Linked DNA regions of Saccharomyces cerevisiae S288C. The protein of the gene in region 1 purifies or fractionates together with the protein of each later gene. This does not show direct contact. Each region holds a gene or a part of one and is shown in the gene's direction. Other genes may lie near its edges. The genes, in order: RLP7, ERB1, YTM1 and NUG1.

What was found.
Region 2: the proteins of RLP7 (region 1) and ERB1 purify together in Saccharomyces cerevisiae (affinity purification with mass spectrometry; 7 studies listed by BioGRID, with this or other methods). This does not show direct contact.
Region 3: the proteins of RLP7 (region 1) and YTM1 purify together in Saccharomyces cerevisiae (affinity purification with mass spectrometry; 6 studies listed by BioGRID). This does not show direct contact.
Region 4: the proteins of RLP7 (region 1) and NUG1 purify together in Saccharomyces cerevisiae (affinity purification with mass spectrometry; 6 studies listed by BioGRID, with this or other methods). This does not show direct contact.

Annotation. Positions count from the first base shown.
Region 1 is NC_001146.8:621,796-628,953, reverse strand, and holds RLP7 (Rlp7p), read left to right. Parts: upstream 1-1,811; coding exon 1,812-2,780; downstream 2,781-7,158. Other genes in the region: ribosome dissociation factor DOM34, read right to left, coding at 338-1,498; PET8 (Pet8p), read left to right, coding at 3,125-3,979; HRB1 (mRNA-binding protein), read right to left, coding at 4,333-5,667, 6,010-6,039; mitochondrial 54S ribosomal protein bL27m MRP7, read left to right, coding at 6,526-7,158. UniProt on the Saccharomyces cerevisiae protein: Involved in the biogenesis of the 60S ribosomal subunit. May act as a specificity factor that binds precursor rRNAs and tethers the enzymes that carry out the early 5' to 3' exonucleolytic reactions that generate the mature rRNAs.
Region 2 is NC_001145.3:367,594-376,228, reverse strand, and holds ERB1 (ribosome biogenesis protein ERB1), read left to right. Parts: upstream 1-5,711; coding exon 5,712-8,135; downstream 8,136-8,635. Other genes in the region: CSM3 (Csm3p), read right to left, coding at 8,295-8,635.
Region 3 is NC_001147.6:830,705-837,842, forward strand, and holds YTM1 (Ytm1p), read left to right. Parts: upstream 1-2,108; coding exon 2,109-3,491; downstream 3,492-7,138. Other genes in the region: FSF1 (Fsf1p), read right to left, coding at 355-1,338; TPO4 (Tpo4p), read right to left, coding at 3,748-5,727; MOD5 (tRNA dimethylallyltransferase), read left to right, coding at 6,970-7,138. UniProt on the Saccharomyces cerevisiae protein: Component of the NOP7 complex, which is required for maturation of the 25S and 5.8S ribosomal RNAs and formation of the 60S ribosome.
Region 4 is NC_001137.3:159,073-166,693, forward strand, and holds NUG1 (RNA-binding GTPase NUG1), read left to right. Parts: upstream 1-3,650; coding exon 3,651-5,213; downstream 5,214-7,621. Other genes in the region: mannose-6-phosphate isomerase PMI40, read right to left, coding at 16-46; FMP52 (Fmp52p), read left to right, coding at 508-1,203; YND1 (apyrase), read left to right, coding at 1,478-3,370; PAC2 (Pac2p), read left to right, coding at 5,455-7,011; TMA20 (translation machinery-associated protein 20), read right to left, coding at 7,165-7,621. UniProt on the Saccharomyces cerevisiae protein: GTPase required for 60S ribosomal subunit export to the cytoplasm.

The DNA of each region.
Region 1 (7,158 bases):
TAATATAATTTCTTAGTTCGGCATTTTTTTGCTAGGCGCCTAAACGCAGATATCCTTAAATACCAAATTTGAACGTTATTTTACTTTTCGGAAGACAAATACATAAATAAATTTTAACATTAATATATAAAAAAATAATAAAAAAATGTATATTTTTTAAAATGTTTTAAAATATTTTTAAAAAGCTGCACGTGACTAACTAGAACCATTTCACAACAACTCAATTAATTGCGGCTTCACATCTACTTGCTTATAGGGAAGAAGTAAAGAGAATAATCCGATTTATTATAGGGTTGCAAATTTTATGTGTACATTACTTTTTTCTTACATAGTAAATCTACTCCTCACCATCGTCTTCATCAAGATCGGGGAGCGGGTATTTTAGAATACAGGCTATACCCGTCAATTGATCAAGTTCTTCTCCAAGAGAATGCAAAGTACTTAATACCAATGCTTTTCCTCCATTGCTCTCTACGGAGTCCATCAGTTTCAAATATTCCTCTCTTTGTGCAATATTGTCTGAATGCAAAACTTTATCTGTTAACAGTAAATAACTAATTGCGCCATACTCAGCCGCTTTAACTACCTCTTTTTCACCATACCAAGCTTTATCATCATCCTTGTTTAAATGCAACAAAAATTCATCCATCACCATGATTTCTTTGGAGTATTTAGTATCTTGCAGCTTTGAAGCATATAGTGGATTTTTCAAAACTTCATTAATGCCCTGTAAGTAGCCCGTGGAGCAGTGGGCTATAAAGAACATTCCTTTGTTATCGAGTATTTTCTTATTGTGTTCCTCTTCGGCATACTGGAAAATTTTGTCCATTAATATCTTAGCGTAGAAACCTGGAGAGCAAAGAATAATAGTCTTTAATTTATCAAAATTCAAATCTTTCTTCATTGCACTGTAAATTGCTTTATAAAATTTCTCAGTTTTTTCATCAAACTTCAGTACATCAGTAGTCCTTTTCTTTTTTGGCATACTATATTCAATTTTTTGTTTTAAAATAGTAGAGGAGGATGTCACTAAACAAACATGGGCGATCCCTTCCTGTAAAACGACCGCCGCGGTGTCTGATTTATACTCGATATTACAGGCTTCATTTAAGAGCTTTTGCATGAATTTATTAAAGTTTTGTTTTATGATAGTAAAGGGATACACGTAGTCAAGGGTAAAGCTCAAATATTTGCCGACAGGTATGTCAACATTACTAGCTCCACTTTCATCTGTAACAGTAACACCTTTATATTTCAAATATTCATCCTTCATATCAAAATCCTCGGATATTACTTTAATCTTCAACTTGACCAAATCTGTACTTTTTTTCTTACCAGCTTCATCAAGTTTAGAGGTGAATTTTTTCTTGAATATCAACTCGTCATCTTTGTCTACTATTTGATAAACAGTAAACAGATCTTCCTTGTCCTCCGGTAAAAGAGTAATCACTGCTCCTCCTTTGTTAAAAGAATCCTTTTTCAGACTAATAACCTTCATATTTTTGCTATGATAGGAATGCGATAATTGAACAAAATGACAACGATGCAGCAACGAATGCTTAATTTTTTGGGATCTTCATTAAATTACATTTTACATTAATATACAAAACTAGGTGAATATTGAATAATGTATGTACACTTTCATCACGCAGTACGGATTTTTGGTAAAAAGAAAATTTTTTTCAGCTCTGCTTAAAAAAAGCTGGGAAGCGATGAGATGAGAAAAGTCTAAGTTGTTTGGTACTTTCGTTATTAAGTTCCTAGAAAGAAGAGGCTGCCACAGGGAAAAAGAATAAGATATACAAGTCACAATGTCTTCAACTCAAGACAGTAAAGCGCAAACTCTTAATTCTAATCCAGAAATTCTTTTGAGGAAAAGAAGAAATGCTGATAGAACTAGAATCGAAAGACAAGAATTAGCTAAGAAAAAGAGGGAAGAACAAATCAAAAAAAAGAGAAGTAATAAGAACAAATTTGTCAGAGCTGAAAGTATAGTTGCAAAGACTTTGGCTACCTCTAGGGAAAAGGAAAGAATTAAAAGAGTGTCTATATTAGAAGATAAGAAGGCAAAGAATGAAACGCAGCATATTGCATCTGGGAAAGATTTTATTCTGAAAATAACAGAAAAAGCTAATGGCGCCGAAGAGAACTCTGTCGACTTGGAGGAGACTGAAGAAGAAGAAGACGATGGTTTAATCAGAGAAAAGACTACTTACGATGGCAAACCTGCTTTACTTTTCATTGTCAGAGTAAGAGGTCCGCTTGCTGTAAATATTCCAAACAAAGCATTTAAGATTTTGTCTTTGCTAAGATTAGTTGAAACTAATACTGGTGTTTTCGTCAAATTGACCAAAAACGTATATCCGTTGCTCAAGGTTATTGCGCCATACGTAGTGATTGGCAAGCCTTCTTTATCTTCTATCCGTTCCTTGATTCAAAAGAGAGGTAGAATAATCTATAAGGGTGAGAATGAGGCTGAACCTCACGAAATAGTTCTTAATGACAACAATATTGTCGAGGAGCAATTAGGAGATCATGGAATAATTTGTGTTGAAGATATTATTCATGAGATTGCCACTATGGGTGAGTCTTTTTCTGTTTGTAACTTCTTCTTACAACCATTCAAGTTGAATAGAGAAGTATCTGGATTTGGTTCTTTGAATAGGCTAAGGAAAATAAAACAGCGGGAGGCTGAATCAAGAACTCGTCAATTTTCAAATGCAGCTACAGCACCAGTTATCGAAGTTGACATTGACTCTTTATTAGCCAAGTTGAATTAATTAAGAGAGTATTTTAAAATTGTATAGTACATAGGTTGTTAGTTATCTAATGCCATTGAAGGAGCAGATATTGAGCTTTTGCATATAATTAGTGGTGCCTCATGGATTGAAGAATATACGTATTTTGGCAAGTTTATTGGTTTTTAGTTTATGTATCGGCAAAAGCACGGGCGCCTCTTTTTTTCCTCGCTTACTGAGCGCTGTTTTGTATATAAATACATTTGCAGTGGGGTGCACCCTCGAGAATATATGAGATCATTAAAGCTCCACTTGTTGTAAATTGTTTGGCGATTTTATATGTTTAGACACACCGATGAACTAAAATTCGCTTTGAAAAGTTTGCTATGAATACTTTTTTTCTTTCCTTGCTAAGTGGCGCCGCTGCTGGTACCTCTACGGATTTGGTTTTTTTCCCTATAGACACAATTAAAACCAGGCTTCAAGCTAAGGGTGGATTCTTTGCTAATGGAGGATACAAAGGCATATATCGTGGTTTGGGAAGCGCTGTTGTAGCATCGGCGCCAGGTGCTTCACTTTTCTTTATTAGTTATGATTATATGAAAGTAAAATCAAGGCCATATATCAGCAAACTTTACTCACAGGGATCTGAGCAATTGATTGATACGACAACGCACATGCTTTCCTCTTCCATTGGTGAAATTTGTGCTTGTCTTGTTCGAGTTCCCGCAGAAGTCGTTAAGCAAAGGACGCAAGTTCACTCTACCAATTCTTCCTGGCAGACTTTACAGTCAATTCTACGAAATGACAATAAGGAAGGTTTAAGGAAAAATCTTTATAGAGGGTGGTCTACCACCATTATGAGAGAAATACCGTTTACTTGTATACAGTTTCCTTTATACGAGTATCTAAAAAAGACTTGGGCAAAAGCCAATGGCCAAAGTCAAGTGGAGCCATGGAAAGGGGCTATCTGCGGTTCTATTGCGGGTGGGATCGCAGCAGCTACAACGACACCATTAGATTTCTTGAAAACCAGATTAATGCTCAACAAAACAACCGCCTCACTTGGAAGCGTTATTATTAGGATTTACAGAGAGGAAGGTCCTGCTGTATTTTTCAGTGGAGTGGGGCCCCGGACAATGTGGATCAGTGCAGGTGGTGCTATCTTCCTAGGCATGTATGAAACTGTTCATTCGTTATTATCGAAAAGTTTCCCAACGGCTGGAGAAATGAGAGCGTAATGAAAACATAGAGCAAAAGCAACTACCAGTTGTAAGAGGTAGATCGTTTACGTACTTTACGTAAGCCTTCTGAGGCCTCTTGTCTGTTGTTTATTTTTTGTTATTCATATAAAAAAGTCGTCTATTTACGATATCTGTTCAAAGTACTTTTTTGGATATTTGTTAAACCCATTTTCACTGTATTGGAAAAATCAGACTCTTTTCACAGTCTTCTTCAAAGTCTTCGAAATTTTTTCAGATTATACGTATACACAATGACATTATAAAGTTAAAAAGCCTGGAAATAAGTCAAGAATGAATAAATACTTGTCGCAGATCCAATAGGTGAGAAAGTATATAGATCGAGAGTAGTTCTAGAGGCGTTTAGCGTACGATATATCCAAATCACAACCCCCATAGTTATAATTATTCAATCTTTCAATACAAACATCTGCATCATCGACGTTATCGTATTCAACGACAGCTATTCCAGTTGGTGCCCCTTTGGAATCATACCTTAATTCAGCATTGTTAACCTTTCCGATTGTCTCGAAAAGGTCGTAAAGATCACTTTTTGCAGTTGAAAATGGCAAATTACTGCAATATATGAGTCTATTTCTTTCACCTCCACCGACAACGTTTTCGGTAAATTTTCGAGCTTCTTCGTTAACGGGAGAATCATCCATTGGGATATCAACATCGTCTCCATCACTGTGGTTATGTACGCTTTCCTTAGACTTGACATCCAAGACGTTACCCTCTATACTATAACCGTTGTATTTCTCAATCGCTCTATGCAGATCTTTAATATCATAAAAGGACACCGTACCAGATCCAGTGGATACTCCATCGCCATCCAATTCCACATCAGCGTGTGCGACATTCCCACATTCCTTGAATATGTCTTTCAAAGCCTGCCAATTAACGGAAGCAGGTAAATTTTTTACAATAACTTCATGTGTTTTTCGGTTATGTCTAAGCTCTCCTCTATCGAGTGCTTTCCTTTCCTTGATATTGTTTGACGGTGGTGGATTATCTTGCCTGACGAAGATTTTACGATCCATGAAGAAGGCCCCATCGTACTGGCGGATGGCCCTGTCAACATCATCCGAATTAGTGAACTCTACTGTACCCATACCTCTGTGGTGCCCTCTTGATGTAATTATATCCGCGCGGACTACTTTTCCTATCTGTGAAAAAAACTCAGTGAGATCTTCGGGGGTGCTGTCATATGTTAAATTACCCACGAATATACTATTGGAATAGTTTCTATTGACCTTTTCTTCGTATGTACTATCCAATTCACGTGCCAACAAAGGACCGTAATCACCTCTTGCTCCACTACTACCAAAACCGCCTCTCCTACTGTCATCACGTGTATTGTGTCTACTCCTAAAGCTTCTAGGATAGTCATCACGTCTGTTCCCATAACGACCAGTCACATCTCTTCCTCTGCGCCTATCATCGTAACGGTCTCTAGATCTAGGATTATCTCTGTTATTGAACCTTTCTCTTTCTCTGTAATCAGACCTTTCTCTACCTCCTCTATATTCTCCTCTATCTCTGCTTCCTCTGTACGTATCTGCGAACTTACGCCTACCGTTATAATTACCTGACCTCCGGGACAAATGGTTGTCTCTTTCATAACCATGATCATCACTCATCCGACGACGAACAGGTGATCTCGACCTCGATCTACTTCGATTATTCTACAACAATGAATAACATTAGTAAAAGTAACTAAATTTCATAATGAGAGAGACCAATAAGTCATTGCGTTTCAAAGTTGGAATAAACTGTACATTATAGCATGGCAGGTAGAAAATCAGGGTTTTATTTATAATTGATATTCTCACTTTCATAGCCAGTAGATAAACATTAGCAATGCATTCAAAAAACCCCCTTTAACCAGTGGAATCACATTGAAGCAAGCGTTTTGAAGGCAGCATTAAATGGTGACTCACCATTCGTTGATGTCTATTTAATTCCAATGACCTCATAAAGTCTCATTTTACAAACTTTTCTTCACCTCCCTTATCAATGAAACATACGTTTTCTGAACCTCGTTCTTGATCAGACATATCCTGTTAACTTAATATTTGGCGTTCTATCTGCTCATTCAAACTGTTTTCGAACTCATGAGCAAACATAATTATGAAATTTTTCAGCCAGTACTCTACTTTTTCATTTCCCTCGCTAAACAAAGAGAGTCATTTGAAACGACCCAAGGAAAGACGTAAATTGAGGTATATGTAGTGACCAGAAGAGGATAAGGATGGCTAGAGTTTGGTGTTCAAGTTCAATTGTTTGGTTGAATAGGTACTAAAAAGATTTTCACACAACGGCTTCTCTGTAATGTTATACACACTGTTTTTATACCAATTATGCAAATTTGGCTGTTATGACTGGGTGTTTCGATATCTGACGTTCCGCTATTGAATTTTAAAGCTCTTTCTTTGGAGACTCATTCAAGATAGTTCACTGAAGAATGAAGTTGGCTCATTGTAAAAATAAAACTCGCCAGTTTGGGTGGTCATAATATTTCAAGCTTAACCTAAGGTGAGAATATGTGGAATCCTATTTTACTAGATACTTCTAGTTTTTCATTCCAAAAACATGTGTCTGGTGTGTTCCTTCAAGTGCGTAATGCCACCAAAAGGGCTGCGGGCTCGAGAACAAGTATGAAGGATTCTGCAGGAAGAAGGTTAGGACCAAAAAAATATGAAGGCCAGGATGTTTCCACAGGTGAAATTATTATGAGGCAAAGAGGAACAAAGTTTTATCCTGGAGAAAACGTTGGTATAGGGAAAGATCATTCCATATTCGCCTTAGAACCTGGTGTTGTTCGTTACTATCTTGATCCTTTTCATCCTAAAAGAAAATTCATTGGTGTTGCCTTGAGGCGTGATTTGAAACTGCCATCTCCTCATTTTGAGCCTACCGTAAGGAGGTTTGGCCGTTTTGAGTTAACAAATAAAAGGGCAGCATATAAGGAAGAAAATTCTATTTCTAGAAAAGACTATCTCGCAAAACCTAATATTTTGAAGCAGTTAGAGGTCAGGGAATCTAAAAGAAAGGAGTTACAAGACAAGTTGAGTAAGGTTCTTCGGGATGAACTTAAGTTAGATATAAAAGACATCGAATTGGCAACGTCATACTTAATTCGTGTAAGGGCTTCCCTGAAGAATGGATACCCCATA
Region 2 (8,635 bases), on another chromosome or scaffold:
GGTTTATCCATTACACGACCGTCGCGAGGACTCTATCCTCGATGTTTTTACTACGATACTAGCTTTTATTAAGAACCAGTTTCAGGCCAGTGTCTTGGTTATACAAATGGACCGTGGTTCTGAGTATACTAACAGAACTCTCCATAAATTCCTTGAAAAAAATGGTATAACTCCATGCTATACAACCACAGCGGATTCCCGAGCACATGGAGTCGCTGAACGGCTCAACCGTACCTTATTAGATGACTGCCGTACTCAACTGCAATGTAGTGGTTTACCGAACCATTTATGGTTCTCTGCAATCGAATTTTCTACTATTGTGAGAAATTCACTAGCTTCACCTAAAAGCAAAAAATCTGCAAGACAACATGCTGGCTTGGCAGGACTTGATATCAGTACTTTGTTACCTTTCGGTCAACCTGTTATCGTCAATGATCACAACCCTAACTCCAAAATACATCCTCGTGGCATCCCAGGCTACGCTCTACATCCGTCTCGAAACTCTTATGGATATATCATCTATCTTCCATCCTTAAAGAAGACAGTAGATACAACTAACTATGTTATTCTTCAGGGCAAGGAATCCAGATTAGATCAATTCAATTACGACGCACTCACTTTCGATGAAGACTTAAACCGTTTAACTGCTTCATATCAATCGTTCATTGCGTCAAATGAGATCCAACAATCCGATGATCTTAACATAGAATCTGACCATGACTTCCAATCTGACATCGAACTACATCCTGAGCAACCGAGAAATGTCCTTTCAAAAGCTGTGAGTCCAACCGATTCCACACCTCCGTCAACTCATACTGAAGATTCGAAACGTGTTTCTAAAACCAATATTCGCGCACCCAGAGAAGTTGACCCCAACATATCTGAATCTAATATTCTTCCATCAAAGAAGAGATCTAGCACCCCCCAAATTTCCAATATCGAGAGTACCGGTTCGGGTGGTATGCATAAATTAAATGTTCCTTTACTTGCTCCCATGTCCCAATCTAACACACATGAGTCGTCGCACGCCAGTAAATCTAAAGATTTCAGACACTCAGACTCGTACAGTGAAAATGAGACTAATCATACAAACGTACCAATATCCAGTACGGGTGGTACCAACAACAAAACTGTTCCGCAGATAAGTGACCAAGAGACTGAGAAAAGGATTATACACCGTTCACCTTCAATCGATGCTTCTCCACCGGAAAATAATTCATCGCACAATATTGTTCCTATCAAAACGCCAACTACTGTTTCTGAACAGAATACCGAGGAATCTATCATCGCTGATCTCCCACTCCCTGATCTACCTCCAGAATCTCCTACCGAATTCCCTGACCCATTTAAAGAACTCCCACCGATCAATTCTCGTCAAACTAATTCCAGTTTGGGTGGTATTGGTGACTCTAATGCCTATACTACTATCAACAGTAAGAAAAGATCATTAGAAGATAATGAAACTGAAATTAAGGTATCACGAGACACATGGAATACTAAGAATATGCGTAGTTTAGAACCTCCGAGATCGAAGAAACGAATTCACCTGATTGCAGCTGTAAAAGCAGTAAAATCAATCAAACCAATACGGACAACCTTACGATACGATGAGGCAATCACCTATAATAAAGATATTAAAGAAAAAGAAAAATATATCCAGGCATACCACAAAGAAGTCAATCAACTGTTGAAGATGAAAACTTGGGACACTGACAGATATTATGACAGAAAAGAAATAGACCCCAAAAGAGTAATAAATTCAATGTTTATCTTTAACAGGAAACGTGACGGTACTCATAAAGCTAGATTTGTTGCAAGAGGTGATATTCAACATCCTGACACTTACGACCCAGGCATGCAATCCAATACCGTACATCACTATGCATTAATGACATCCCTGTCACTTGCATTAGACAATAACTACTATATTACACAATTAGACATATCTTCGGCATATTTGTATGCAGACATCAAAGAAGAACTATACATAAGACCTCCACCACATTTAGGAATGAATGATAAGTTAATACGTTTGAAGAAATCACTTTATGGATTGAAACAAAGTGGAGCGAACTGGTACGAAACTATCAAATCATACCTGATAAAACAGTGTGGTATGGAAGAAGTTCGTGGATGGTCATGCGTATTTAAGAATAGTCAAGTAACAATTTGCTTATTCGTTGATGATATGATATTGTTCAGCAAAGACTTAAATGCAAATAAGAAAATCATAACAACACTCAAGAAACAATACGATACAAAGATAATAAATCTGGGTGAAAGTGATAACGAAATTCAGTACGACATACTTGGCTTAGAAATCAAATATCAAAGAGGTAAATACATGAAATTAGGTATGGAAAACTCATTAACTGAAAAAATACCCAAACTAAACGTACCTTTGAACCCAAAAGGAAGGAAACTTAGCGCTCCAGGTCAACCAGGTCTATATATAGACCAGCAAGAACTAGAGCTAGAAGAAGATGATTACAAAATGAAGGTACATGAAATGCAAAAGCTGATAGGTCTAGCATCATATGTTGGATATAAATTTAGATTTGACCTATTATACTACATCAACACACTTGCACAACATATACTATTTCCGTCCAAGCAAGTGTTAGATATGACATATGAATTGATACAGTTCATATGGAATACGAGAGATAAGCAATTAATATGGCACAAAAGCAAACCTGTTAAGCCAACAAATAAATTAGTTGTTATAAGCGATGCATCGTATGGTAACCAACCGTATTATAAATCACAAATTGGCAACATATATTTACTTAATGGAAAAGTAATTGGAGGAAAGTCCACCAAGGCTTCATTAACATGTACTTCAACTACGGAAGCAGAAATACACGCGATAAGTGAATCTGTCCCATTATTAAATAACCTCAGTCACCTTGTGCAAGAACTTAACAAGAAACCAATTACTAAAGGATTACTAACCGACAGTAAATCTACAATCAGTATAATTATATCCAATAATGAAGAGAAATTTAGAAACAGATTTTTTGGTACTAAAGCAATGAGACTAAGAGATGAAGTATCAGGAAATCATCTGCACGTATGCTATATCGAAACCAAAAAGAATATTGCAGACGTAATGACCAAACCTCTTCCGATAAAAACATTCAAACTATTAACAAACAAATGGATTCATTAGATCTATTACATTATGGGTGGTATGTTGGAATAAAAATCCACTATCGTCTATCAACTAATAGTTATATTATCAATATATTATCATATACGGTGTTAAGATGATGACATAAGTTATGAGAAGCTGTCATCGATGTTAGAGGAAGCTGAAACGCAAGGATTGATAATGTAATAGGATCAATGAATATAAACATATAAAACGGAATGAGGAATAATCGTAATATTAGTATGTAGAAATATAGATTCCATTTTGAGGATTCCTATATCCTCGAGGAGAACTTCTAGTATATTCTGTATACCTAATATTATAGCCTTTATCAACAATGGAATCCCAACAATTATCTAATTACCCACATATATCTCACCTTCTTACACTGTATATGATAATATATTAATATTAAACCAGTCAATAAATGTAATTGATTATTTCAACACGAAAACCTAACTATCAACGATATCACATAGAACAGCGAAGAGTTAGAAGATTTATTAGAAGATTTATTAGTATAGGTTATTTTAGATGCAATTTTTCAATAAAACCTGGTTTCGTGGTCTAGTCGGTTATGGCATCTGCTTAACACGCAGAACGTCCCCAGTTCGATCCTGGGCGAAATCATTTTTTTAGCACTTTAGCAGCATATTGCGGTATCGAATCATCTTCATGAATGGCGCAGATTTATTTGAACTGTTCAATCATAAATTAACCTTATGTGAATAGTCTGGGTAGGTTGAAACTTCGGAAATCACTTGCTTTTCTGAGGGCTGCGCGTAATCTAGATAGATCTACCTAAATGACACCGATGGCAACTTCAAGCTATACTAACTCCTAGACATTACTTTCTTCAGTATTCCCTTAGTGCCTGTTTTGAGCTATGAGATTGGTATTATTATTTGAAATATCTTCTATTGCGGTATCTGATTTTATATTTCTAGCTTTGTCATAAAATATAAAATACACAAATATATATATAGAGATAAGATAGATTATTTTTGATGACTTGCAAGTTGCACTAGGATTTGTTTTTCTTCTAAAAACCCCTTAAAGGTATTTCCAGAGAAAATATTATGCTGGTTATTCGATACTATTATCCAGTATACACTGACCTATGTTATAAGCAAAGGTTCTTCGTTCTGCCTCTTTAACAGGTGGAGTGCGTGCCATTATCATCAATGAAAGTTTAACATGTAATTGTCATCAGCTGTATACTGTTCGAATCTGTTCATTACGAAGGTTTAACTTCAAAAATCGAAAAGAAAAAAAATAGAAGATAAGAATATTGCATAGATCCTTCTTTTTTAGTGAAGTCACCGAATAATACATATAATGAAGTTAAAATTACAAACCGTGCAAAAACACCGCTGATTTAGAGTGGGCGATTTCATAGATCAAAAAGCAGGCTAAATATGAATTGAAAATTAAGTAGTCTACTATTTTCTGACAGCAGTGGCGCGCGACGGTTTCCAGGAAGTTTATTATTCAACGTGTCCAATTTTCACACGCTGCTTGACATCGTTATTCCCTGAACGCATTTTTACACTGTATGCGCAATTTGAGCCACTTTGATGGACTATTATGTATGAATAGCTTAGCTTAAAGAAGTAACAGTAGAGTGTTGAACCTTTAAGTGCTTGATGTACTCGAGCCTTTTTCTATGATACCTCACTCCAGAAAAAAGCGTTTAACATATCTGGCATTGAGGGTGGTCTCAAACAATAAAAGTATCCTATTTAATATTTTAACATTGCTGATAACCTAAAAAATCTGAACGTTGCCAGCATAAAACCTCAGCTTTATATCGTACTGAATAACATACTTACTGCAGGGCGAAATTTTTCTCAAATTGTGCCTAAATCGTTAAGTTACTAAACTTTTACGCGCAGTACTGGCATTGAGCGATCAATATTGTTTAATGCGTAGTGACGATCTTCTCCACTTATATTTTTTTATTCGTAGTTCTCTATTTTCGTTTCGATTTGTTTTCTCTGTCTACCAGATTAAAAGTGATTTGAAGTTTTTTATCATGAACTAAACAATAAAATTACAAAAAAAAAAAGTCAGCGTCACCAAGGATTGCTACCAATATACGACTTTACTGCTGTATTATCGAATTTTACCTTCTAGGATATTATGTAAAGTCTCTAGCAAAGGGAGAAAACTAATGTTACTAGGACTGAAGAACATTTTCCTCTTATAGTGTAAAATTGATTTTGACAAGAATATAATTAATACATTTTTTTTCTTTTGATAGCAGTATTGAGTACAATGAATTGAGCATTCAAGGTTCAACATGTGATAGTAGCTCTACCGCTAGTATGTTATTGCTAATTAAGTAGGATTGAATTGTCGCGATTTTGTCATTTTGGGTTTTAATAACTCTTGTACGGGTTACCCCATTTGTTTTTGAAGATTAGTGAAAAATTATTGAAAATTTTTTTTTTTTTGGTTTTGCGATGAGCTTATAATTTACATATGTGATATATTCGCATATAGATCCTAGCGAAGAAAGGTACTGTATTAAATCTGTTCTAACATAACTAGGTCAATGATGGCTAAGAACAACAAAACTACCGAGGCAAAGATGTCGAAAAAGAGAGCAGCTAGCGAAGAATCTGATGTCGAGGAAGATGAGGACAAGCTTTTATCCGTTGACGGTTTGATCGATGCGGAAGCAAGTGAGAGTGACGAGGATGATGACGAATACGAGTCTGCCGTTGAAGAAAAGGAATCATCTTCTGATAAAGAAGCCCAAGATGATTCTGATGATGACTCCGATGCTGAATTAAACAAACTGCTTGCCGAAGAAGAAGGTGATGGGGAAGAGGACTATGACAGTTCTGAGTTTTCAGACGACACAACTTCCTTAACAGACAGATTATCGGGTGTGAAATTGCAAACGATCGTTGATCCGAATATTTACTCAAAATATGCAGATGGCAGTGATAGAATTATCAAACCTGAAATTAATCCAGTTTATGATAGCGATGATAGTGATGCCGAAACGCAAAATACCATTGGTAATATTCCACTTTCTGCATACGATGAAATGCCACACATTGGATACGATATCAACGGTAAAAGGATTATGAGACCTGCCAAGGGTTCTGCTTTAGATCAACTGTTGGATTCTATCGAGCTACCTGAAGGCTGGACTGGTTTACTGGACAAGAATTCCGGTTCAAGTTTGAACTTAACCAAAGAGGAATTAGAACTTATTTCCAAAATCCAAAGGAACGAACAAACTGATGATAGCATAAATCCATACGAACCGTTAATCGATTGGTTCACGAGACACGAAGAAGTGATGCCATTAACTGCTGTTCCGGAGCCAAAAAGAAGATTTGTTCCATCCAAAAACGAAGCCAAGAGAGTTATGAAAATTGTAAGAGCTATCAGAGAGGGCCGTATTATTCCTCCTAAAAAATTAAAGGAAATGAAAGAAAAGGAAAAAATTGAAAACTATCAATACGATTTATGGGGTGATTCTACGGAAACAAATGATCATGTAATGCATCTAAGGGCACCAAAATTACCTCCACCAACTAATGAAGAGAGTTATAATCCACCAGAAGAGTATCTTTTGTCTCCTGAAGAAAAGGAGGCCTGGGAAAATACTGAATATAGTGAAAGAGAAAGAAACTTCATACCTCAAAAGTATTCTGCCTTAAGAAAGGTCCCTGGTTACGGTGAATCTATTAGGGAAAGATTTGAAAGATCTTTGGATTTATATTTAGCTCCTCGTGTCCGTAAAAACAAATTGAATATTGATCCTAATTCTCTAATTCCAGAACTTCCCTCTCCCAAGGATTTAAGACCCTTCCCTATTCGTTGCTCAACAATATACGCTGGTCACAAAGGAAAAGTACGCACATTATCCATTGATCCTTCTGGATTATGGCTAGCAACAGGATCTGATGACGGAACAGTCAGGGTATGGGAAATTTTAACTGGTAGAGAAGTTTATAGAACTACTTTAATCGATGACGAGGAAAACCCAGATTACCACATTGAATGCATTGAATGGAATCCTGATGCTAATAATGGTATTCTCGCCGTTGCTGTTGGTGAAAACATTCATTTAATAGTACCACCAATATTCGGCTACGATATTGAAAATAACGGCAAAACTAAGATTGAAGATGGTTTTGGCTACGATACTTTTGGGACTGTTAAAAAATCTAACCTAGAAGTGAACGAGAATGGTGATGGCGATGAAGATGGAGAGAATGAATCTGCTAAGAATGCTGTAAAAAAACAAGTAGCCCAATGGAACAAGCCTTCTCAAAAGCAACTAGAAAAGGATATTTGTATCACTATTTCTTGCAAAAAAACAGTAAAAAAGCTTTCATGGCATAGAAAAGGTGATTACTTTGTCACTGTTCAACCTGACTCTGGTAACACTTCTGTTTTGATTCACCAAGTTTCCAAGCATTTAACCCAATCCCCATTCAAAAAATCGAAGGGCATTATTATGGATGCGAAGTTCCATCCTTTTAAACCTCAATTATTTGTCTGTTCCCAAAGATATGTCAGAATTTATGATTTATCTCAACAAATATTGGTCAAGAAACTGTTGCCTGGTGCCCGTTGGTTATCGAAAATCGATATTCACCCAAGGGGTGATAATTTAATTGCGTCATCGTTTGACAAGAGAGTTTTATGGCACGACCTGGATTTGGCTAGCACACCTTACAAGACACTAAGATATCATGAAAAAGCCGTCAGAAGTGTGAATTTCCACAAAAAGTTACCTCTATTCAGCTCTGCCGCTGATGACGGTACCATACATGTTTTCCATGCCACTGTTTATGATGACATGATGAAAAATCCGATGATTGTGCCACTAAAGAAACTAACCGGTCATAAAGTAATCAATAGTCTGGGTGTTCTTGATGCTATTTGGCATCCGAGGGAAGCTTGGCTGTTTTCTGCCGGTGCTGATAATACGGCTCGCTTATGGACCACCTAGATAAATAATTTGAAGTAGATATTGTATAATAACGCCCAAGAAGAAAAAATCAAACACTCGAACCAGGCTCTTTCTACAAGCTTTATTTACACAATATATATAAACCTATATGTATAGATGCCCACACGCACGTTTGGATTATTACCTTCAATGACATTGCTAAAAGCCCATTTCCTTCATAGCATCCAACTCATCTTGATCTACGCCAAACTCATCTCCCCCTGGCAATAAATCATAATGAGTATGTTGTCCCTCTATATCATTCATTTCCCACTCTTCCAAACTTTGAATCAGTTGAACGTCTTCTTCAGTCATAGAGCCTTTTTCCATTTTTCTATGCGCATCTAGCCATCCTAATAAGAGCTTCTTCTCATTTTCTTCAAGGCCAACGGGCCCTTGTACCCTGAATGTCTTCAATAATGCATCCAAATCTTCCTTAGGCGGCACAACGTTGTTAAGTACCGTTTCATTATTCCCACGTTCGTCCAAAACTCGTCCTC
Region 3 (7,138 bases), on another chromosome or scaffold:
AAGTATAGATATATTGAGAGGCAAAAGCTATGGACTTATTTGGACTTTTGTTGTTTTGTAACCTCTAAAAGGGTTGCACTCAAGAAAAAAGGTTTTCCATATCGACTTATCTGAGTTTCTTTTTTTTGCTTTTTTTTTTTTTAGCCCATTTTTTTTTTGACGCATTAGTCGTTAATGATGATATAATGTCCACGTGATGACATTTCAATCTGCAACAATAGCTCGGCAACTGGATTACTAGCAGTCATACGTATGTCAGTCACTACACATATATATATATTAATGTTTAACTAATTTTTTTTTCTTATCTATCTGATATTTATTCTATAACTATATAAATTTGTCTCTTCACTTCTAAATACCTCTGTTAAAATAGACCTTTTCAATTGGCTTCCCATCCTTATCCTTCTTGCCATGTAGTTCAGGTTCTAGTTTATTTAAATGGATTGCTTGTCTTTGAGGGAAGATACCGAGTGCAAATGGCAAAGCTGAGAACATTGTGACTGAGATCAACCCCAAATTGGCCAAAGTTTGCACACCGAGAGACTTACCTTTGAGGACACCGCGTTGTAGTCTAACCAAAATCAAAGGTGGGATGACCATAGTTGGAGTGGCGTTAATCACTCTACTTAATGCAGTTTCACCAACTGCCATGAAGGCAGCCTTCTTGGACTTTCCGACTTCGTCACCGTTAGAGTCAAACACAGAAATACCCTTTCTAATTTCGTTGCCTCTCATTAGGAAGACGTTGACAATACCGGCACTGACCACGGCGGCAAATGGCACCAAACGGCCCAAGATCAACTTTGAATGTGGAGAAATGTTTTTCAACCTGGGAACTAGGTTATTTAGACCTAACGCAACACCACACGACGCAGTTACAGCGGCAGCGTAATTGGTGAGCAATTGGGACGTGGACATAGGATGAGATTTGTTTGCGTTAGCGGAATTAACGGCGACGTTTAGCGATTGATTTGCCCATTGCCAAAATACAGTCCCTGCCGTACCCAAACCAGGCGTCAGCATACCTACAGTAACGACTAGGTTTGATAGCACGTTGGAAGACATACGGAAGGGCAAAAGAACTGTCTTCCCTGTGTCCGGATGCACGGTGGAGTCCAGTTGTTTCTTGGCTCGCCAGAACTCCGGAGTAGTCTCTTTTAGTTCACCGTGACGATACGCACTGATGATTTCTCTAGCATGCGCCAGGTCCTTCTCAGTAGTTAACAACATAGTGGGGTCGGAAATCTCTGCGCAATGGCGGATTCTACCCCAATACGTGGATAAGTCATAGCGGGATTCGGGCAAATCGATGGGCCCTGGGACTGATGATGCCATATTTCTCTGCCTTGTTTATTTTTTTCTTTCGATGCTGTGTGGTTTTATTATTGCTAACTTGCAGTGGTCGACGCCTTTGAAAACTGTAAAGCTGATGCGAAGACCTAACAGTCTCTTATCCAATTACCTCAATCTGGTACGCTCCGGTACCGGACGCCAGTACGAAAGAAAAACTTTTCGTTCGTCTCGGGCACCATTGGTATAAAAAGCGCCGAGGCAGCGATCATTTTTCTAGTATTACTCTTCTTTCATTTTTTAGTTATCTTTGATTTTCGGTTCCGAAGAAGGCATGATACATATTAAACATGCCTTCTATTCACTGTGCCATCTTACATCCGTAGGTGATCAGAGGGGAAAAGAAGAGCTAGAGCAACTCCCACACTCATGAGCGTCCTCATACTGTTCTGGGCGCTTCTCACAGGTGCTTCTTTTAGTGTCTCCCATTGGCCCAGATCGGTAGCTGCGCGAGTGAGATATCTTTCATTCATTTATATTTATCTGTAGCAATAGCTTCCTTTACTATTTTATTCTTAGGGAGAACTTTAGCTTATTTCTTGCACAAGAGGGTTTGACAGTTTTCTGTTACCCGGCCAGTACTTCAAAAATTTTTCAAAAATTTTCTGAAGTGCTCATCTCATCGCAAACCGTAGGAGCAGTGAAAGGCATATGCTCATCTGTATAATTGCAAAAAGACATATTCTATGTTCGCAGAACCAATACGTTACCTAAAGTTTTAAAGACAATACCAAGGGAAACTGCACAAATTCAATATGACAGAAGATAAATCGCAGGTTAAAATCAGGTTTTTCACGCGTGAGAAAGATGAATTACTACATGTACAAGATACTCCAATGTACGCCCCCATCTCATTAAAGAGATATGGGTTGTCCGAAATTGTCAATCACTTGTTGGGCTCGGAAAAGCCTGTTCCTTTCGATTTCTTGATTGAAGGTGAATTGTTACGTACTTCATTGCACGACTATTTGACCAAGAAAGGTTTATCGAGCGAAGCCTCGCTGAATGTAGAATATACCAGGGCAATTCTTCCACCATCCTATTTGAATAGTTTCAGCAATGAGGACTGGGTTAGCTCATTGGATGTCGGCGACGGTTCCAAGCATATTATTAGTGGTTCTTACGATGGTATAGTTCGCACCTGGGATTTATCAGGTAATGTGCAAAAGCAGTACAGTGGTCATTCTGGCCCAATCCGTGCAGTAAAATACATTTCCAATACAAGGCTAGTTTCGGCTGGTAACGACCGTACTTTGAGATTATGGAAAACCAAAAACGATGATTTGAAATTAACTTCACAACAACAGGCACAGGAAGACGATGATGACGAAGTAAACATAGAGGACGGTAAGACACTGGCTATCTTGGAAGGTCATAAGGCACCAGTAGTCTCTATTGATGTTTCAGACAACTCAAGAATATTATCTGCATCATACGACAATTCTATTGGGTTCTGGTCTACTATTTATAAGGAAATGACAGTTGTTGATCCATTAGAAGATATAAACAATCCAAACAATAAAATATCCACTGCTGCTAGAAAAAGGAGAAAATTGACAATGAAAGATGGTACCATTAGAAGACGTGCCCCTCTGTCTCTGTTAGAATCCCATACAGCTCCTGTTGAGCAAGTGATCTTCGATTCTACAGATAATACCGTTGGTTATTCAGTATCACAAGATCATACCATCAAGACATGGGATTTGGTCACCGCGAGATGTATAGATACAAGAACAACATCGTACTCGTTGCTTTCCATTGCTCAATTGTCGACTTTGAACTTGTTAGCATGTGGGTCCAGCGCCAGACACATCACATTGCATGACCCACGTGTGGGAGCGTCTTCCAAAGTTACTCAGCAACAACTAATTGGTCATAAGAACTTCGTTTCCTCTCTGGACACTTGTCCCGAGAATGAGTATATATTATGCTCGGGTTCTCACGATGGTACCGTGAAGGTATGGGACGTCAGGTCTACTTCTCCGATGTACACCATAACAAGAGAAGACAAATCGGTCCAAAAGGGCGTCAATGACAAAGTTTTTGCTGTCAAATGGGCTGAAAAAGTGGGTATTATCAGCGCTGGTCAAGACAAAAAGATTCAAATAAATAAAGGAGACAACATTTTCAAAAACTGAGAAAAAACTGTTGTTGTTTTTATGTAGAATAATGTACTGATATACTTGAAATAAATTTGGTTTTGCCAACAGCTTTCGCAAATTTCTGTCACCTTCTTCTTTATGTAAAACGACATTACTTGCTAAAAAAAAAAATACTTCTATGATAATGTGTACTTGTATGAAACTTCTATAAATTTAAATTGGTGAATTTTATCCAGCTATCCCCCAATTTACTATTTGAATATATGCAATTGTGATCTGTCTTAAGACCTTTTCAAACCATTCTGGCGGAAGCATCGGTGGCCATTTCCGTATACGAATAACCGTCTTCATTATCCTTGATAGCTGAGTATAAACTATTGGAAATGGGTTCATTACGATTTTGCGCATGTTGCCCGTCCTCGCGATCAAACGAGGCAGGAACGGGCTGCGTATGGGTCCTGCGCAGAGATAGCCTTTCACCTGGTTTTTCTCTAGTCGAAGGGTCTGTTTCCATGGTCCTTAACGTGGTCATCCTTGTTAGATTCAATTCACCATCGACAGCATTTACGTCATCTATACCACCTTCGGTCTCAGCCTCCTTTTCCATGGCGGCATAACCAAATTGTGACTTGTGTCTTAATTTGCTCCCCCATTTTTCAAAAACCCATGGAATTGGAATCATCACAACGCAAACTAATGCAAATAAAGTGCTTGCCCATTTGATTTTCATCTTTGTGTACATTTGGATGGTAAACAATGGGAATACACTACTCATAACGTATCTTAATAGATTATTGGCAGCCAAACAGGATGCCACAGTTAATGGCGGATAGCATGTAGAGAAGTACATTAAAACGCTGAAAAAAATCAAAATTAAACCAAAACCAAATGGCACACCGGCAGCCACAGGAGCCATCCAGTGGACATCTGATCTAGCAGTCCAGGCTTGCCAAAACAGGCCGATAGGCAAAGCTACAGAACCAAATTTACAGGCAATTAAAAATTTTTCTGGAACAACGGGTAGCAATTCACCTGTTTCAGCGTCTCTTGCACCTCTGTAAGGGGTAGTCCTTTTAGAAGTTCTCTCTTTTTCGGTGAGTGGTTGAGTGCCAGCTGGTGGTTTAGGGAAGAGATATTTTCTGTCGATGTAAAGGTAAAAGAAAGCACCTATCCATAACCCGACACCAATACCAATAAATGGCAAGCCAGATATCCCCATAGACATGTGGTAAACACCACGATAAATGACAGCGTATGCTTCGAAAAATCCAAATAAAATGGCGAATATGAAAGCGACATAAACACTGAAAACAAATACAATAGGTTCAACGACAAGCATTTTTAAAGGCCTTAAGATTGTAATAGTGACAGTGGTTTTTAAAAATTCTTTCTGAGCTTCCCTGCTGAACTTCTTCAAGGCTATATTTCTCTTCTTGGCACGCTTTCTTAAAATAATACCTTTATGGGTCTCTGGCATGAGCGCAATAAATGGCAAGATTAGACCGCCCGCAATCAATTGGATCCATTCAGACCAACGCCAGCCTTTGGCTTCAGTAGCAAATCCTGCCATAATAGGAGATAAAACTGGCCCTAAGAATGGAGATAGAACAAAGTATGTCATTGCGACGGAGACCTGGTCCACGTCAAAGATATCCAGGATGGTACCTGATCCAACGGATAAGGCGGGGGATGCAAAGACACCTGATAAAAACCTTAGGGGTAGAATTATTCTCATGTGGCCATTGGATAACCCAACACCCATGGTGAAAAGCATTGACACAGGTAGGGAAAATAAATAGACAGGCTTACGACCAAACACTTCACTTAATGGAGCGCCGATGACAGTCGATAAACCCAGAAGATAGAAAGTTAAACCAGCAAGCGCCAAAGTCTGACTAACGTGATATCTTTCTACCAATTCTGGTACGGAAGAAACATATAGGGAACTACCCATTGTGACGACCAAACAAAGAAAAGCTGAAGTCATAGTAGTATACCATTTCTTCAAAGAGGACCAATTATGCGGATTGTCTGGGTCATCGGGCCCGTCCCAATCGAGATCTCTTGGGTCAATTGGCTCGCCCCCTGTCATGTTATTGGAATCTGCATTCGGTTCTGATCTTTTTTCGTCCTCTGTTATTGACCCTGTCGAAGAAGAAGTCGAATCCAAGTTGCCGCTATTAGTTACATTTTTGTCCAAGGCTTTTGGTACCTGCTGTATGTTTGTTCGAGGATCTGAGTTAGATTCGGTTTTTGTCAAAGAAGAAGGCATTAGTAAAACTTAAAATATATGTATACGATGTCTATGCTTCTTTGTGTGTGTATGTGTGTGTATAAGATGGTATCTTTATTCTGTAATTTTCAGGAAAGTGATGACTAGAAAATCGATGTGTCAGGTACAACAAATTGACAACCTATAACTTTCCATACAGGCGAATATATATATACACATAAACACATTCAAGCCTCCGGTACCGTTTGCTCTGACAAGGACAATTAGCATGTAAGCACGAGTGCGGGTATGCAATCATTTCAGTGTTTCCTTCATTTGGCATAGTGTCGTAACACGGATTTAAGGTGAGCCGTCAGGGGCTTTTAAGCGGAGCCCCTGCAGCTTCATGAAGACGGAACCGCACGGGCCTATTACCTCGGGGATAGATCAATTATCCGAAGCGGGTCACAACCCGGAAATAATAACCACTATGCCCGACCGTACCGACGTGGCACTATTTTTGGGATCCGTGGAAGTCGGCCATTAGTGGTAATCGGCGAAAACAAGTTTATTGCAGCTAAAGCACGCCATACGGTTGATATAAACAGCAATTAGGCACTTTTTCTCTTATTATTCATATGCCTTATTGGCTTGTGGCTTGTGGCTTGTAGCCTATGCAAATGCATTTGCTGATAGCAGCATAAGAAAGTTGGGAAGAAACGCTAACTGTACTTTTTATATCCAGAGTTCATTAGTTGATCTTTTACCCCAATAATTTCTTCCACTTGCGGCCTGCTTCTTCGCATTTCTCCCATTCCGGGCCGCGACTCCGTAGTTCTTACAGAAACAGCCGCCTCCATAACCATCTATGATAGGAAAAAGATGGACAAACAGGAAAAGAGCTAGGGAGTATAACCTGATTCCTGACATGTATAGGATTCGGGTAATTTTGAAATACGAAGCTCTTTGCATTCCGAGACCGGTTTAGGAAGATTTATTTACATATCTACTTGCGCTATTGTGGTCATGCCTTCGAAAGATAAAGAGCGAATTTTGCTCGTATAAGCTAAAATCAGGTAAAAGTTCCTTATGTTGCTGCTCCTCGATGGCAACGTCGATCTAAGATCTTGATTACTGAATCAGGCGAAAGCACACGTTCATCTTTCGCTCATCGGAAAGAAAATTAAAACAGAAAAAAATTCTAAAATGGCAAAAAAGAAGAAAAGCTCAGTGAGGGCTGTATAGTTTATTAGATAAGCTACTATACGTACATATCTTTTGTAAATAGAACCAAAAATCTTCATGCTAAAGGGACCGCTTAAAGGTTGCTTAAATATGTCTAAAAAAGTTATAGTGATTGCTGGTACAACAGGAGTAGGAAAGTCTCAGTTGTCCATACAATTGGCACAAAAATTTAATGGCGAAGTTATCAATTCGGATTCTATGCAGGTATATAAAGATATTCCTATTA
Region 4 (7,621 bases), on another chromosome or scaffold:
AAAAATGGCACATACCTGCATCTAACCTGAACAGCTTGTTGGACATGTTTTAAAATTTTCTGGTCTGATGTTCTTTACGTGTTTAGTGTTGAATGATTACAAGAAACAAACATTTTATACAGAAATATACTAAGATTGCGACGTGTATATTTAAATACGTAAATCGCGGCGAAAAAGGACACGGACGCGACAAAAAATTGCTACAATAACCAAGCAGCACGAAATGGATAGTGCACCACGAGACTTGGCATGATCAAAGTGCAAAAGAAAGCAGAATAACAAATTACTCCCGCAAAGTACTAGCTATATCAGGGAACGACTTTATTGGCATCTTGTTGTAGCAAGGTTTTCATGATTCTCATCCTTGCGCTTGTCGCGCGGCACGATGCCAGTGCGGAGTTTCCGCGATATGATGTAACTGCAGCTGTTGGTGGCGAACTTTGCATAAGATCGACCTCCTACTGATGAGAAAGATAGGATGGATTATATAGAAGAGCACAAGCAACGATGAATGGGTTGGTATTAGGCGCTACAGGTTTATGCGGAGGCGGGTTTCTGAGGCACGCACAGGAGGCACCCCAGTTCTCTAAGGTATACGCGATCTTGAGAAGGGAATTGCCCTTTCCGGCCACTGATAAAGTTGTGGCCATAGTAGAAAGGGATAATTCAAAGTGGTCACAATTGATCACCAATGAAATGAATCCGCAGGTGCTATTCACCGCACTGGCAACGACAAGGGCAGCTGCAGGCGGTTTGGACAAGCAATACAAGATCGATCATGATTTAAACTTACAATTGGCCCAGGCTGCCAAGGAAAAAGGATGTGAAACGATCGTTCTCGTTTCTTCCGCTGGTGCTCATCCGGACTCCAGGTTCGGCTACATGAAGATGAAGGGCGAGATTGAACGCGATGTTATCGCTCTTGATTTTAAGCACATTATAATTTTGCGCCCAGGCCCTCTCCTTGGTGAACGGACAAATTCTAAACAAAGCGGATTTGGCGGCAATCTGACTGCTGCTTTGGGCACTCGCGTGTACCGTTCTAGATTCCAGAGGTTGCTAGGCTATCCAGTTTATGGCGATGAGGTAGGAAAAGTTGGTGTTCATTTGGCGTTGAATACTTCTGGGAAAGACAAGGTTCAGTTTGTCTCCAGCAAGGACATTCTTGACATCTCAGCTTCTCTGGAGAAGATTGCTACCTAAATCAACCAACGGCTTCTTCTCGCAGCTACAGTTGTATTTTACTGTGACGTACTTTTGCGCGCGTACGGGTTCAATGAATTACGGATTTTCAACAACTTCACACAATCATAGCTTTTTTTACTTTTTCGCCTCATTATTTTCTTTAAAGAAACGATGATAAACAGAGATTTATCGTCATGTTATTTCGTTCGTATATATCGTATTTGCGTTTTAGCTGTATAAAGTAAAATACTATATCTAACGTGGCTTTTTTTATTTCCCCGTCTGCCCTCTTATGCTCATAGAAAACACTAATGATCGGTTTGGTATCGTCATAGATGCAGGGTCTTCGGGTTCGAGAATCCATGTGTTTAAGTGGCAGGACACGGAATCGCTTCTTCATGCAACAAACCAGGACTCACAGTCCATATTACAATCAGTACCTCATATTCATCAAGAAAAAGACTGGACTTTTAAGCTGAATCCAGGCTTGTCGAGTTTTGAAAAAAAACCTCAAGATGCGTACAAATCTCACATCAAGCCGTTACTAGATTTTGCTAAGAATATTATCCCTGAATCACATTGGTCGAGTTGTCCCGTTTTTATTCAAGCAACCGCGGGCATGCGCCTTTTACCTCAAGACATACAATCTTCCATTTTGGATGGTTTGTGTCAGGGGCTCAAACACCCTGCAGAATTTTTGGTTGAGGATTGCTCAGCACAAATTCAAGTCATTGATGGTGAAACCGAAGGTTTATATGGCTGGCTTGGCTTAAACTATCTATATGGACACTTTAATGACTATAATCCAGAGGTCTCTGACCATTTTACATTTGGGTTTATGGACATGGGCGGTGCCTCTACTCAGATTGCGTTTGCACCGCATGATTCAGGAGAAATAGCTAGACATAGAGATGACATCGCCACCATCTTCTTGAGGAGTGTTAACGGAGATTTGCAGAAATGGGACGTTTTTGTTAGTACGTGGTTAGGGTTTGGTGCCAATCAGGCTAGAAGAAGGTACTTGGCTCAGTTGATCAATACCCTTCCAGAAAACACAAATGATTACGAAAATGATGACTTCTCTACAAGGAACTTGAATGATCCATGTATGCCGCGAGGAAGCAGCACGGATTTTGAATTTAAAGATACCATATTTCACATCGCGGGTTCTGGGAATTACGAACAATGTACAAAATCTATTTATCCGTTACTTTTAAAGAACATGCCTTGTGATGACGAGCCGTGCTTGTTTAATGGTGTTCATGCTCCTCGAATAGACTTTGCCAATGACAAATTTATAGGTACTTCTGAGTACTGGTACACTGCCAACGACGTATTCAAACTTGGGGGCGAATACAACTTTGACAAATTTAGCAAAAGCCTAAGGGAGTTTTGCAATTCCAATTGGACGCAAATATTAGCGAACAGTGATAAAGGCGTGTATAATTCTATTCCGGAGAATTTTTTGAAAGATGCATGCTTTAAGGGCAATTGGGTCCTTAATATACTTCATGAAGGGTTTGATATGCCTCGAATAGATGTCGACGCAGAAAATGTCAATGACAGGCCCTTATTTCAAAGTGTGGAAAAAGTCGAAGAACGAGAGTTATCGTGGACACTAGGCAGAATTTTACTTTATGCCTCAGGTAGCATATTGGCAGGTAATGATGACTTCATGGTGGGTATTGCGCCCAGTGAAAGAAGAACTAAGCTCACTGGTAAGAAATTCATACCTGGCAAGTTACTGGAGTCTGATCAACTACGCAAGCAAAGTTCCAGCCTTTCTAATAAAGGATTTTTGATGTGGTTCGCAATTATTTGTTGCATATTTTACTTGATCTTTCATAGGTCACACATAATCAGAAGACGTTTTTCCGGTCTGTACAACATTACCAAGGACTTTAAGACAGGCATAAGGAGAAGGTTGAAATTTCTAAGGAGATCAGATCCATTTTCCAGATTGGAGGAAGGTGAACTTGGAACAGACGTAGATGGCTTCAAAGATGTGTACAGGATGAAGAGTAGCAGTATGTTTGATCTTGGTAAGAGTTCAGCCACAATGCAAAGGGAGCACGAACCACAAAGGACAGCAAGTCAGTCCGCTAATCTCGCTCCGTCAAACTTACGACCTGCGTTTTCTATGGCTGATTTTTCCAAATTTAAGGACAGTAGGCTATATGATTGAATGTGGTGGTGTATGTGCCATAAATAGAAGCGCATATACTTCTCACATAAATATATGTATATATCTAGTGAGGTGCCATAGTATTGCATTAACAGTGATTCACGTCACTCTAAACGTCGCTTCTGTTTTTTTTTTGAAATTTTTTTCTCACAGCTGCTGAAAATTTTCGAGCGAGGCGATGAGATGAGCTAATTATATCAAGAGGGAATTGTACTAGTAATACTTTGGTACACACAAGAACAAGCATATAGGTATACAGTCACGACTATAATATCATAAAATGAGAGTCAGAAAGCGCCAATCTAGAAGAACATCTACCAAGTTGAAGGAAGGTATTAAGAAGAAGGCTTCTGCCCATAGAAAAAAGGAAAAGAAGATGGCTAAGAAGGACGTTACTTGGAGATCAAGGTCTAAGAAAGACCCTGGTATTCCTTCTAACTTTCCTTATAAGGCTAAGATCTTAGAAGAAATAGAAGCCAAAAAAATGAAGGACTTAGAGGAAAGAGAGCTTGCCAAACAACAACGATTGGAGGCTAGGAAAGCTGCCAAGGAACAAGGCGTTGATGCAATGGATGAAGACATGATAGAAGACGATGAAAATGGATTAGCAGCTTTGGTTGAGTCTGCTCAGCAAGCAGCTGCTGAATATGAGGGCACACCCTCTAATGATGCAGATGTTCGTGATGATGAATTGGACGTCATTGATTATAACATTGATTTCTACGGTGAAGATGTAGAAGGCGAGTCAGAACTTGAAAAATCTAGGAAAGCTTATGACAAGATTTTCAAATCCGTTATTGATGCTTCTGATGTCATCCTATATGTTTTGGATGCCAGAGATCCAGAGAGTACAAGATCAAGAAAGGTGGAAGAAGCCGTCTTACAAAGTCAGGGTAAAAGGCTGATTTTAATACTGAACAAAGTTGATTTAATTCCCCCACATGTATTGGAACAATGGTTAAATTACTTAAAGTCTAGTTTTCCTACAATCCCATTAAGAGCTTCTTCTGGTGCAGTCAACGGAACTTCTTTCAACAGAAAGCTAAGCCAAACCACTACTGCAAGTGCACTGCTAGAGTCGCTGAAAACTTACTCTAATAACAGCAATTTGAAGAGATCTATTGTAGTGGGTGTTATCGGTTATCCAAATGTTGGTAAATCATCTGTTATCAACGCTCTTTTGGCGCGCCGTGGAGGTCAATCAAAGGCTTGCCCAGTCGGTAATGAAGCAGGTGTTACTACCTCTCTGAGAGAGATCAAAATCGACAACAAGTTGAAGATTCTAGATTCTCCTGGTATATGTTTCCCAAGCGAAAATAAGAAAAGATCGAAAGTTGAACATGAAGCTGAATTAGCTCTTCTAAATGCTCTACCGGCAAAACACATTGTTGATCCGTATCCAGCTGTCTTAATGTTGGTAAAGAGACTAGCTAAATCAGATGAAATGACAGAGAGCTTTAAAAAGCTGTATGAAATTCCTCCTATTCCTGCTAATGATGCAGATACGTTTACAAAACATTTCTTAATTCACGTCGCTCGTAAAAGAGGTAGATTAGGGAAAGGCGGTATTCCAAATCTTGCCAGTGCTGGTCTTTCGGTACTTAATGACTGGAGGGATGGTAAAATTCTTGGTTGGGTTTTACCAAATACATCGGCAGCTGCATCTCAACAAGATAAACAAAATCTAAGTACTATAAACACTGGCACTAAACAAGCTCCAATTGCAGCAAATGAATCCACCATTGTATCCGAGTGGTCCAAAGAATTTGATTTGGATGGATTATTTAGCTCTCTTGACAAGGCCATAGATGCTAGCAAAGATCAAGATACAATGATGGAATAAATAAGTCATATGTAAGGCTATTTTTATGTAAGGGGTGTTTCTTATTTTTTCTTTATCATCAAATAACATTACTGTAAATTATAGGTGTGCTTTTAAACTCATTACTATACATCTTATTTTTTTTAGTTTTACTGCCTTTTTGCTCTTTGGACAAAGAAATCATTAAAAAGTTCCAACTTTTATTATGTTTCATATATAAGATATACAAAATATAAAATGCAAAACGAATTTCAGAGATAGCATGACTTATGAAATTGGGGACAGACTCAAGATTGGTGGATATTTTTGCACCATCAAATTCATAGGTGTTATTAAGCCGTGGCCTTCGGTAAAAGCTTATGGGGTGGAATGGGACGATCACAGCCGGGGAAAACATTCTGGAACAATAGATGACATACACTATTTTGACGTTCAAATTCCTAATTCAGGATCATTTTTGAAGGAGTCTAAGATTAAATCTCCAGGTGTACGCAGAATTACGTTTTACGAAGCATTGTCAGAAAAGTATGGAGGCTCGAGTAATAACATTAATGACCTATCTATAGGTAACAAAAGGGTTGAGGGTTTGGGATTCGATGAACTAAATGCGAGAAATAAGAATTATAAGAAGTTAAGAAAAATAGCTTTGCGAGATTCCGATGTCGCTATATTGTTTCAAAATCAAGATGAGTTAAACCGTGTAATACAAAATTGTGTGAACGTCAAGGACCTTGATTTATCGCTTAATCTATTCACGAATATCAACTCTTTATGTGAGTTCATAGAACCTTTGAAGAACTTGGAGAGCCTTAATATATCTCAAAATAAACTTTTAAGCGGTTGGGACAACTTGAAAGAATATGACCTATCACACATCAAAACTTTACGTCTGTCTTCCTGTGGTTTAAGTTATAAACATATTGGTAAGCTGCTCAAAAGCTTCAGGACACTGAAAATGTTGGATTTAAGCTATAACAACTTGACCAGTGCGGGAATCCAAAATTTTGAGAATGAAATACCGTGTACTTTGGAGGAACTGAATATTAGCGGAAATAATCTTATATCGTTTCCATTGTTTCCAAAAAATTTGACATTGAAAGGTTTAAATGTCTCCAATAATCAAATTTCTAGAGCACCAAGTATTGCTATTTATTCTGTTGAATCCTTGGATATAACAGATAACAAATTTAAGGAAAGAAGTTTGATAGATGATTTGAATAAGACATTTCCCTCTTTGAAAAATATCCATCTGAGTGGCAACGAATTCAACTACAACGGAAATTATATTAACGTCGAAGAACAGGCTACTTTTTATGAAGTACTGGCTAGGTTTGATCGTGTGATGGTATTGAATGGATCAATATGTGATGTAAAAACAAGAAGAGAGGCTGAGATGTTTTTTGTTTCCAAGGTAATGAATAACGAATTGAGCTATGACACCAATCTGCCGCGTTGGTCAAGCCTCATAAAGTCGTATGAAATCGATATGAGTAAGCTAAGTTTCAACAATGAAAGAGAAACACGGCAATCTCTTGTCTTAAAAATAAAGATAAGAGCTGGCAAGAAGCCGAGTAGTGATTTAGATTATTGGGTCCTTCCCAGTTTTACAGTAAGGTACGTTAAGAGTGTAATATGTCGAAAGCTAAACTTTGACATACTGAATGTTAAGTTATTTCATGAAAATTCTGAAGGGATGATAAACGAAATAAAGTATAATTTTCGCCCCATTTCAGATTTTAATGTTGTGAACGGAGATATTATTCATGTTTCGTCTCCAGTAAATAACAAGAGCATTCAGAAGGTTAACAGCCCATCGTAATCACAGTATATAGTTAATCTTGGCTAGTTGCATATTTAAAAATCAGGAAACAGCCTTTTAGATTGTAAGCGGATGTTATTCTAATTTTTTCTTAGTTTCTTTATTTTATTATGTAGCAGATGGATAGTAATATAGTGTTGACGGCTCCGTTTGTTACTCAACGCTGAAGTTCCATAAGGGGTCGCCCAAATGGTGAATCAATTCTATGGAATGACCTTTGTTCACTGATTTAATTTCTTCAGTACCCATCATCAATTCACCAATAGCCAATGCATTCTCTTTATTTTCGGCATTGATGACTACAATCGTACCTTTCTCGTAACCAGGAGCAGGTGGTAAGTCGGCACCCGCAGAAGTTAGGCCAGGGCACATGATATTAGCACCTGAGAGAACGAATTTAATAGCACCTCTATCAACCTGAACAGTGGGATAAGCCTCTGGAAATTTGTGTACTAATTTCAGGCTTGGAATCAGTTCATCGAATTTTTGAAAAAAAAGAACTTCACCATCGACGGAATACAATTGGATCTTATCTTCACATTTAATCAACTCGATTTGACTCTTCTTAGGAATTAATTCATCAATAACATCTTCTATTTTGGGGTACTGC